2 linked regions of the Danio rerio genome follow. The protein of the gene in region 2 interacts with the protein of the main gene of each other region in a biochemical or structural test. Links are inferred from orthologs where the notes say so. Each region holds a gene or a part of one and is shown on either strand. Other genes may lie near its edges.

Region 1 (5,406 bases), on a different chromosome or scaffold from region 2:
TTTGCGTGGGCTACAGTCCAAAGTTCCCACAGCCCAAGCACATGCGCTATAGGTGAATTGAATAAACTAAATTGGTCGTAGTGTATGTATGTGCAGGGGAGAGTGTATGAGTGTTTACAAGTGCTGGGTTGCGGCTGAAAGCGCATCCACTGTGTAATAATATATGCTGGGTAAGTAGGCTGTGGCGACCTCTGATTAATAAAGGGGCTAAGCCGAAAAGTAAATGAATGGATGAAAATGACAAAGAGGTGACTTGTCCAATTTAACACAGTACTCAATTTCAGGTTTGGTTTTACTATGAGTGATTGTGACTGGGTTCGAACCAAAGACATTTGAGAAACATCGCTTTTTCAGTTTAGTATTGGATTAAAATCATTTTATTAACTCATCCCAATTCAAAATATTTAAAACATAGCTATTATAAGGGCAGCGTTGTTAGTTGTTCTCTGTTTAACGCTTTAAATGCCCCACCATGAAAAAATTGGAATTTCATTTAAGTCCTAATGTCGCTAGTTAACATACTCAATGCATTTTTTTTCAACACATCCCATAATTTCTAAAATATCCACCTCAACCAAATTGTTTATATGTCGATTTATGGTTAAAATACCAAAATTATTACATATACTATAAAAAATCTGAAAATATGAAGTGTAAAGCCAATCTATATTTAAAAAAAATGTATGTATATATATATATATATATATATATATATATATATATATATATATATATATATATATATATATATATATATATATAAACTAAATCATCTTTATTTTTTGAAGTATACCATAAAGTATTTCAGATTCTCATTTAACATGTTTTGTTGTTGTTTTACTATAAAACCAAAATCAAGTGTAGTAGTGCAACAGGATTATTTGTTTGATTTTTTTGTAAACCTACAATGCTGTGTGTGTAAACCATCATTTAAAACAGTCAAACTGTAAATTAGTTTAACAGTCATTATTTAAAACAGTTAAATTATGGTCAACTATTTGGTAAAGCAGGCAGTTAAAGAGTTAAGGAGTTTATTATTTGTATATCTATCATGGAAGAAATTACACGCAAGTAATTATTTTTATTTGTAAGTTGATCAGTGGAAAGAAATGCCAAAATAGTTTGTTGTGAGGTTGGATAGCTTACAAAGGTGTTTGAGAAACATATTTGAGCACTATGTTACCTCAAATACATATTACTTGAGTATAACTTGTTTAAATGTACTTTTTAAACTTCTAAAACGGCGATTCTTTAGCAACAACATTGAGCCTTTTCTACATTTAAAAGGTTTGCTAATACGTTTATTTTATTTATTACATTATTTTTATTTGTAAGTGTGATATGGATGAAAAAGCCAAACGACTTAATGTTATATCTCCCAATATATAACGTAACAGCTTCATCTGCTGGTAAAACGGAGTAGCGCATCATTTGCACAGCTCCCACAGAGCTGAATTTGACGAGTTTGCCCTAAATTTAAATTAAGCGGTCACGCTGTCAACTTATATTAGGTTTTAAAACTCAATCAAGTACATTTGATTTACCTTTTCTCATATTTCTCCTCAAAAACGCGGCGTTTTGTCGTTATATATTACTATTCAGTTCTGAGGTAAAACACATTTGCTAGCTAGTTCGTTGTGTATGACGTAAATCATTTGTGTCAGCCAAATGACACATGAGCCAATCGCAGGGTCGGAGAGGTTTGCGTAACCAATCGCAGCGCAGCACTGTGACTCACCATACATGGACAGCCATCACCATATAAGGAAACATCGACTCGCTTTATATGGAGGAAAGTAGATCTATAGACGAACGTCTCGTGAGTTAAATTCTCAAAATAAGCAATATTTTACTAATTATTTTCCCCAGAAAACGTTAAACTTAATATTTGACCAAAATAGTGCTTTTTATGAGCTAATAACGTATTATCTAAAACAATACCGACCTTTAAGCAGAGAACTATTTTTAAAGGCGGAGCTGCATTGCGCGGTCGCGATTCGTCGTTTCCAAATGTGGCAAGCGCAGCGTAAGTTCAGTCGAGGTTTGATTGATGGACTGTAGGCGGAAACTATATGTTGTAAACTTTGTACGGTGGTCGTAAAGGGCTAGTTTTGCAGGTTTATTTCTGTCGTTTACGAGACCCTCAAATCCTGACTTTCATACTGAAACAAATCCATCCGTAACCAGAAATAGCGCTTGCCTGCTTTAAGTTGTCCGCTGAGTTGAGCTAATGTTTCTTAGCCTAGCATATGTGAGGTAAGTTCGGTTTTGGGTCTGGATTTGATCTGGGATCTGCTGCACAGATCGCTAACTTTACACCCACCGCAGACCGCCGTAGTGCCGCTTGCAGGTCAGCGATGTTAGGGGGCAACGGGACGGCCAGAGGGGCTGGACGCTCTGGTAATGGCACGGGATTGACACCTCTACAGGTGGGCAGCACATCTGGGGCTCTGGGGGCTGTAAACTCTGTCATAAACCTGCCCGATGGGGGCAGATACGACGACGGGCCGTCGGTCGAGGCTGTGCTGAGCGGCTCCGATGGAGACTCAGACTCCGGGGACGATGAAGAGAGCCCTGTGCCGGACAGGAGAGGGGTGAAGCGGGAGAGGAGCGAGCTGGAGGTCGGGGGATCTTCTGGATCTAACGCCGCACTCTCGGCAGGATACGGAGGGGTCTCCAGCGGGGTGGCCGGAGCGAAGCCCGGCAAGAAAACGCGAGGACGGGTGAAAATTAAGATGGAGTTTATTGACAACAAGCTGAGGAGATACACGACCTTCAGCAAGAGAAAGACTGGCATCATGAAGAAGGTATGTTCATGTGTCTTCTGCTGTTAGTCTGGAACTGATTGTACCACTGCTGTTCTACTGCTGTACTGATGCTAGTTTTACACCAGTGCTAAACATCTATGCTAATATTAGCACTACAACTACTAGTAGTGCCATGCCAATACGTTCTTCAGTAACTGGTACTCTAGTAAACTTTAGTATTTACCTCATTGTGCTTTGTTTAATTCTGTATAAATAATAGTACCACTAACATTACTATATTCAGGATTCCCACTGGTCATGGAATTGTAAAAGCTCTATCCCACATCCTGTAAGTCAGGGAATTGTATACATTTTTTGGTAACACTTTAGGTTATTACATATTTATAATTATGACATTGGTTGTTTTTTAGTAGTTATAAAGTATCGTTTTATTCAACATCCTTAAACCTACCAATACCTAAACCATAGCTCTCAAACTCAATTCCTGGAGGGCCACAGCTCTCAGTTTTGCTTCAACCGTAATCAAACACAACTTATTCAACTAATCAAGGTATTACTACTAGTAGAGACTATTAAGTAGGTGAGCTAGAGATGGTTGGAGCTAAACTGTGCAGAGCTGGGGCCCTCCAGGAATTGGGTTTGAGACCTCTGACCTAAAGCCAACTTCTTACTAACAGTTAATTAGCAGCAAATTAGTACCTTAGTGAGAAAAAAGTCTTAGTTAATGGTTTGTTTATAACAATAATTGTACCTTAAAATAAAGTGTAACCATTTTTATTGGCCCAAGTCATTGAATAACAGGGATTGTTGTTGTATTTCTTATTTCTTTACATTTATAATTTGTTTTTCAAAGTCAAATTATATTCTTCTCCCGCTTGTCAGCTGGCATAAGTCCTAGGGTGCTATCACACCTGCCTTATTTAGTTCGGTTGAATCGCACTAGAGTTCGTTTTCCCTCTTGGTGCGGTTCGTTTGGGCAGGTGTGAATCTAACAATCGTACTCGAGTGCGCACCAAAAGCGGACTAAAAAAGCATAGCAAGACCCCTTAGAGGAGGTGATCTCGGTACGCTTACAAACATGGCAAATTAATTCTTAGTATTATAAATATTTATTATTGTCTGCCACATAATAAAAAGTTTGAACAATAACACACTTACAGGTAAAAAAAAGATAAATAAAACATCAACGTTTTAATTAAAATGTAATTTTAAAAGTTTTTACTTGAATAATTCAGCGATTCCTCCGCGTACCACTAGAAGGAAGTCCGCGTACCACTTGAAGGAAGCCAGTGCATTGATAATGACCAAAAACACATTGAATGAGCAATTTTACCCAATAAATGCATCAATAATATCCACTGATTTTTAGATATTCAATTAAGTGAACTTAAACGATTAGAATGGCAACAAATATTTAGTTGAACCCAAACTACAAAAAAAAAACATTTAAAATAATTTTAAACTAGTTTTAAACTAGTGGGGTTTTGAAATCAATTAATGCAAATAATCGAAATAACTGTAAAGCCGTGATTATTTCTAAGACTATAAGCGTACAACCAAAATTTATAATCGTTGCATCCCTATTTTCAACTGGTTCAGATTAAAGCAATCAATTTGGTGTGAAAACGGCCCAAAAACGGCAGAAAATGCTACAATGTGTCATTTGTTGCCCTTGGTCCGGACCAAATGACCGAACTACAGATGTAAAACCACCCTTATGCACATAAGTCAAAATGCAATCCCCAGGCTTTACCTGTTAAATACTGTCTATATTTTGTGTCTGCCCAGTGCTCAACCCAACAGAAGGTATAATAAACCTTAAAGACGTCACAGAAATCAAGCATTTTGCTATTTAGTCAGTAAAATTTACATATTTTGACATTTGGTTTAGACTGGGAGCCCTGTATATGATACTAAATCTATAGAAATAGTTCCACTTGATTGATCCTAGAGCTACAGTAGAGATGCTAGCTTAGATAGTTTAAATTAATACATATTCTAACACTTCACAAAAACTCTACCACTAAATGTAAAAATACTTCATTTAAAACATTAATAATATTAGTGTCAATGGTTTGAACTCATGAAACTGATTCTATTATTGTAAAATAACAGTGTAAATTACAACATTGATGTTAATTCTATTGAAGTAGTAGTATCACTAGATTATATTGTAAAATTTCAGATACTAACTCTTTTTAAGTACCAGTATTTGCTTAAAATCATACTGCTGAGAAATACCTTTCTTAAATCTCAAAATCAAAGTTGTAGGCTTTAAAAAGTCTCAAATTTACTGAAATATTGTGTTGTAGGTCTTAAATCTTTTTTTAAACAGGTCTTAATTTTCATTTGTTCATGTATTGCTATCCAATCTGGCCAAAACCCATAAAATCACCAACAATCCATCTCAACTTTAAACTTTTTTTTTATTATTATTTAAAAGTTAATTTTTAACTCTGTTTATCATAATGGTTTAATTATTTTCCTTGTAATAACATTTGTTTAGAAGTGGTCCATGTATTTACTGTTGAGGACACTGACCTGGACAGGTTGTTGTGCATAGATTAGGTTTGTTATAGTTTTTAAAACTTTTAAAACATTTGTTCATTTTTTTTATTTTAAAGAAAGTTTATGTTGG
Region 2 (4,956 bases):
TCTTGATTAAACACTCTCAAAGTTCAAACTTTCATAGAAAAATAAGTCTAGTGCTATTGAATGAAATCAAAGATCAAAACCTGTTGTCAGGGGCAAACATTCACTGCTGTCAGCAAAAGGTTCATAAAACTTTTTAGCTTTTGTGTGGATTATTTTGGCATCCAGCGTAATGTTCTTTTTCCTGTAGTCACTGATCCACAAAGAGAAAGCAGAATTCATCCTTTGGGTGTTGCTCACCGGATGCGCCACACATGACAGTTGGAAGTAACACACACCAGACTCGCACATTAGCATGTTATTTGAAATGAAATTATTCATATGGCTCTCTGTGGCACGGTAGAAATATGAACAGTGTCTTGAATTGTAGCTGGACACCACAGACAGCAAACGACTTGCGGCGCCAGTGTGCGTACCCTAACATAAACCTATGTTTACAGTTCTAAAATGCATGGCTGCTGCGCAGTGGGTCATGGCGAAGCGCATCCGGTGTGTGACCCCCTTTACAATGGTCTTGCTGCAGACAGTTACAACCCTTTTTGCATCCTTGTTGAAACTCACACTGTTAGCGATCAAAGATTTATATTAATTTGGCAAGCTGAACACATTCTGTATTGTACAGGAGACACAGACACTGATTGACAATGGCCTACGGCCAATCAGAACACAGAACACAATGTGCTGCAAAATAAAAAGCCAAATTGCACACAAAAAAAAATCCACGAAACTGCGAGGCCCCGAAATGTGAACAGCGTTATAGTGAGAGACAACTCATTGTCGCATTTTTAGGGTCCCCATGAAACATTTCCGTTGTGTTCCATGCTATTTGCATGTGTTGTGAGAAATGCAGCCTCTTTTCCTTACGTGTATGCGTTGTGTGGATTTGCAACATGTTTGATGTCAAACCGATGAGAATCTTTTCTCAATTTGCTGGTGTTTTATTGTAATTGCGCATGTTTTTTATAAAATTACAGCATGTTAAGCTCTTGGCTACCATAATATTGTTTAAAAAAAGAAAATAAAAAAAAATTATTATTAAAAAAACATGCTCTGCAGACCCACAGAGACGCACCTTTTGCAACAAAAGTTTGCGAAAATGTTAATCAACTAATTTGCCTCATTTAAATAATTTAACTTTTCATTCTTGTAATTATTATAACTTTTAGCAATAATGTCTATTTTTGTTTCTTTTTACTGTTATTTATTTCTCATTTGCTGTATACTTTATTAATTTAATTATGTTATTATATTACATACTTAATACAAATCTTAAATGCTTTGGCAATACTGTACAAAATGTCATGCCAATAAAGCAACTTTAGAGAGAGAGAGAGAGAGAGAGAGAGCAGTCTTTACCTGTCTGTGGGTGCACATGGCTCCTAAATGGGCTAAAAGTAAGAAAATGGTGGATTTCTTTCATTTCAACAGCCTTTTTTTTAAATAACTTTAAACCATCGAAAAAGAAAAGGTGTTAAACAGGGTCCCATTAAATAAAAATATAGTTAACATCACATTACTTTTTCGTTTGTCGCATGTAGTTGACCATCTATGTGCTGTGGGTAAAAGATGTGTTTCAATCCGCCTACCACCGCAAGTATATTTCAAATTTTCTTCTTTTTTTTTTACTTGTCCAAGAAGTGGGTTTACTTGCATATGTTTTAATAGGGTAGAAAAGACTATTAAAAATGTTGGTTGCTCAATGTGGTGGGATTGGATTTGTGCTGCTCACAATTTCATTATTAAGACTTGTACACCTCAGGAAAAACTATTTAATCAGTTTGACCACTCTGATTTCAACACAATGACTGATAAATGACTGATCACAGATCTTAAGCGTTATCTTACAGATTTTCATTGAAGTCCTACCTGCGTTTTTAAGAGCCAGATCTTTGCTTAGGCTGTACTTTTTATGTTTATCTGAAATATCTTGTGTTTTTGTGTGTGTGTGAGGCAACAATAGCATTTGTGCTGTGTGAAAGGGTGCTTCACATGCTGCAAGCTCTCAATGGGATTTTTCACAAAGGCAGAGAGATACTGAACACTTCTGTTACCAGATAACCAAAAACAAAGAGAAATAACACAATGACCTTGTAAAATGACACACACACATACACACACACACACATACAACCAACCTCTTGAATTGTCTCCCTCCCTTTTCTCTCCCGCTCAGACTCCAGTGCTGCTGACACCGAGTCCGCTGCCATCAACCATTCACTTCTGGAGCACGCTCAGTCCTATCGCTCCACGCAGCCCTGCCAAGCTCTCCTTCCAGGTGAGACTTCCTGTCCACACAGTTTCTGTCCACAGCATGGCAGCAGCACACCATCTGTCTCCTCACACTCGCTCAGCGCATCACATGGCTGAGAATGTACTCTCTGCCCACTCCATTCATAACCAGCGAATACACCACACCATAAACATTTGATATACATCTTCTTTTCTCAACTCAAGCCCCCCTGTATATTTTTGTCCCCAATTTCTGTTTAACTGAGAGTAGATTTTTTTCAACACATTTCTAAACATAATAGTTTTAAAAACTCATTTCTAATAACTGGTTTATTTTATCTTTGTCATGATGACAGTACATAATATTCGACTTGATATTTTTCAAGGCTTAACTAGATTAATTAGGCAAGTCATTGTATAACGCTGGTTGTTCTGTAGACGAGCAGAAAAAAATATTGCTAAAGGGGCCTAATAATATCGACCTTAAAATGTTTTTTTAATAAAATTTAAAACTGCTTTTATTCTAGCAGAAATTAAACAAATAAGGTTTTCTCTAGAAGAAAAAATATTATAGGAAATACTGTGAAAATTCCTTGCTCTGTTAAACATCATTTGAGAAATATTTGAAAAAGAAAAGAAAAATTCACAGAAGGACTAATCATTTTGACTTTGACTACTTGCAGTTGAGGAATGAAAGCTTTTTGGCATGGAGGAAACAAAATATGTTGAATAAAAGGGCTCTTTTGTTTGAAATAAAGTTTTAATTTAGACCAAATAGTCTTGTGATCATTTTTATTCTTAATTATTTGTTGATTTCTTTTTTTTATTCTTAAATGTTTTTTATTTCTGGCGGGAAAAAGAAACCGAGCCATTAGAAGGAATAATTTTTGGATGACACATCTGAATATATGAGCCATGCTGTTTAAAGCTAGCCAGTTATTCCCACACTTGTAAACACACATCATTTATTTAAATTTTGCTATTGCTCCAATTTGCTATAATAAAGGGTGATTCAAAAAGAATGACAACTTTGAAAATCTGTATTTAATCAAATAAACATGATTGACCATTTGGTAATTAATCAATGTGAAGAGTACTTAAAGTTTTTTTCAGTCGAAAACAAATTCATAGATGTTCAATATGACTCCCTACAGGCACTCGAGTGACATCACTCCGATACTTGAATTCATTCCACACTCTCCATAGGATCTCGGGCGTAACAGTTTGGATAGCTGCAGTTATCCCTTCTTTTAGTTCCTCAATGTTAGCTGGTAGAGGTGGGCGAAACACCATGGATTCTATTTTAACCATCTAGGCACAAAGTCTGATGCACAGGGCGCAAAAGGGTGTCTCCAAATCCACTTTTGCTATTTTAAGGACGGAAAAATAGGCTCTGCGTCGCGTTGCATAGTCTAACAGGGTTGAGCTTATTCTCTTAATGAGTTATAGGTGTGTTTTGAGAAAAAAACAATCAGAGCCTCATCTTGCATTCCCTTTAAGAGTCAGTTGCGTGGTGCCATAGCGCATTTGCTATTTACATGGCAGACTTTGTAAGTGGAAAAACTGAATGCTTCACTAGTGAGAAAACGGTTAAACAGAGCATCTGCAGTGGGAGAATGAGAGATGAGCCTCCTCCAATCGGCCTTTACTTTCACTTTCATTTTTTCTCTTTCGTTGATGAGGAAACGTGTTGTACGCACATGCATCCATTAGCCTACAAAATTAATTTTGTTTTTTAAGCGCAAAGATTTGTTTTAAAACTATTTATAAATTCAGTGTATGATAGGGCACCATATCTTTAACTTATCTCATGGGGTGAGGTCAGGGCTTCTTAGAGGCCAGAGATTAAGTGCTCTGTCACGAGCTGCCTGGTGGCTGATTACAATGCTTTGGTACCTTTAGCTCAATTAGGCACGAACAGATAAGTGCTAATGGGGTGGTGCCCCATCCTAGTGGAATATGAATTGACGTGCTGCTTCTTTAAGTTGAGGGAACAGCCAAGTCTGCAACATTTGCAGATAGATTTGCCCAGTTACAGTTGCACCTTCAAAGAAAAAAAGGTCCAAAAACTTAATTGGCTGTAATAGCACAGAAGATGTTCACCTTAGGTAAATCACGTTCATGCTGAATTGTTTGCATTAGCAACAGAAATGAAAGTTGTATAGCTTTTTTTAATTTATTATACATGAAGGCATTGCTGACCTTTTACCATATTTGTGTTGCTTCCATTTAAAAATCAATGAATGAATCTCAAGTAGAGCTCAGCATTTCAGCGATTTCACCGTCTTTAATTTGGCTCTTTGAATAATGGATCTGATTGCAATTGTGTTGCTTTTTGAGAAGGTTTTTTTGTTGTTGTTGTTGGACTGACCCCAAGAAAAGCATGTGAGCATCCTCTGCTGGACTATACTGTAGCTGCAGTACAGAGATTGGATGAATATATGTACATGTTGTTTTTTTTAAAGAACAGGCACAATAAACCTAACCCTAGCCTGTCTTGGCAGATATGTTTGTTGGGCTGAGTTTACATTTTATTAAAACTAGAAACCAATATTATTTACTAGCTTCATTTACCAGGTTATTTAAGCATTGAAATTGTATTGTGAATAAACTCCAAGCATTCATTTTGTAAATTGTCTGTTGTGATAAGGTGAAAGTTGTAGAAAGTTACTTTTGAAAGTAATACATTACAGTTTTGAGTTACTCTCTAAAAAATTACTAGTTGCATTA

What was found. The genes of interacting proteins can lie anywhere in the genome.
Region 1: the proteins of elk1 (region 2) and srfa form a complex in vitro, tested with the Homo sapiens proteins (2 studies listed by BioGRID). The link is inferred for Danio rerio from reciprocal best matches to the Homo sapiens genes ELK1 and SRF.

The regions. Positions count from the first base shown.
Region 1 is NC_133197.1:37,095,091-37,100,496, forward strand, and holds the start of srfa (serum response factor a), read left to right. Parts: upstream 1-2,034; 5' UTR 2,035-2,357; coding exon 2,358-2,807; intron 2,808-5,406. UniProt on the Homo sapiens protein: SRF is a transcription factor that binds to the serum response element (SRE), a short sequence of dyad symmetry located 300 bp to the 5' of the site of transcription initiation of some genes (such as FOS).
Region 2 is NC_133183.1:10,294,166-10,299,121, forward strand, and holds part of elk1 (ETS domain-containing protein Elk-1), read left to right. Parts: intron 1-2,170; coding exon 2,171-2,272; intron 2,273-4,956. UniProt on the Homo sapiens protein: Transcription factor that binds to purine-rich DNA sequences. Forms a ternary complex with SRF and the ETS and SRF motifs of the serum response element (SRE) on the promoter region of immediate early genes such as FOS and IER2.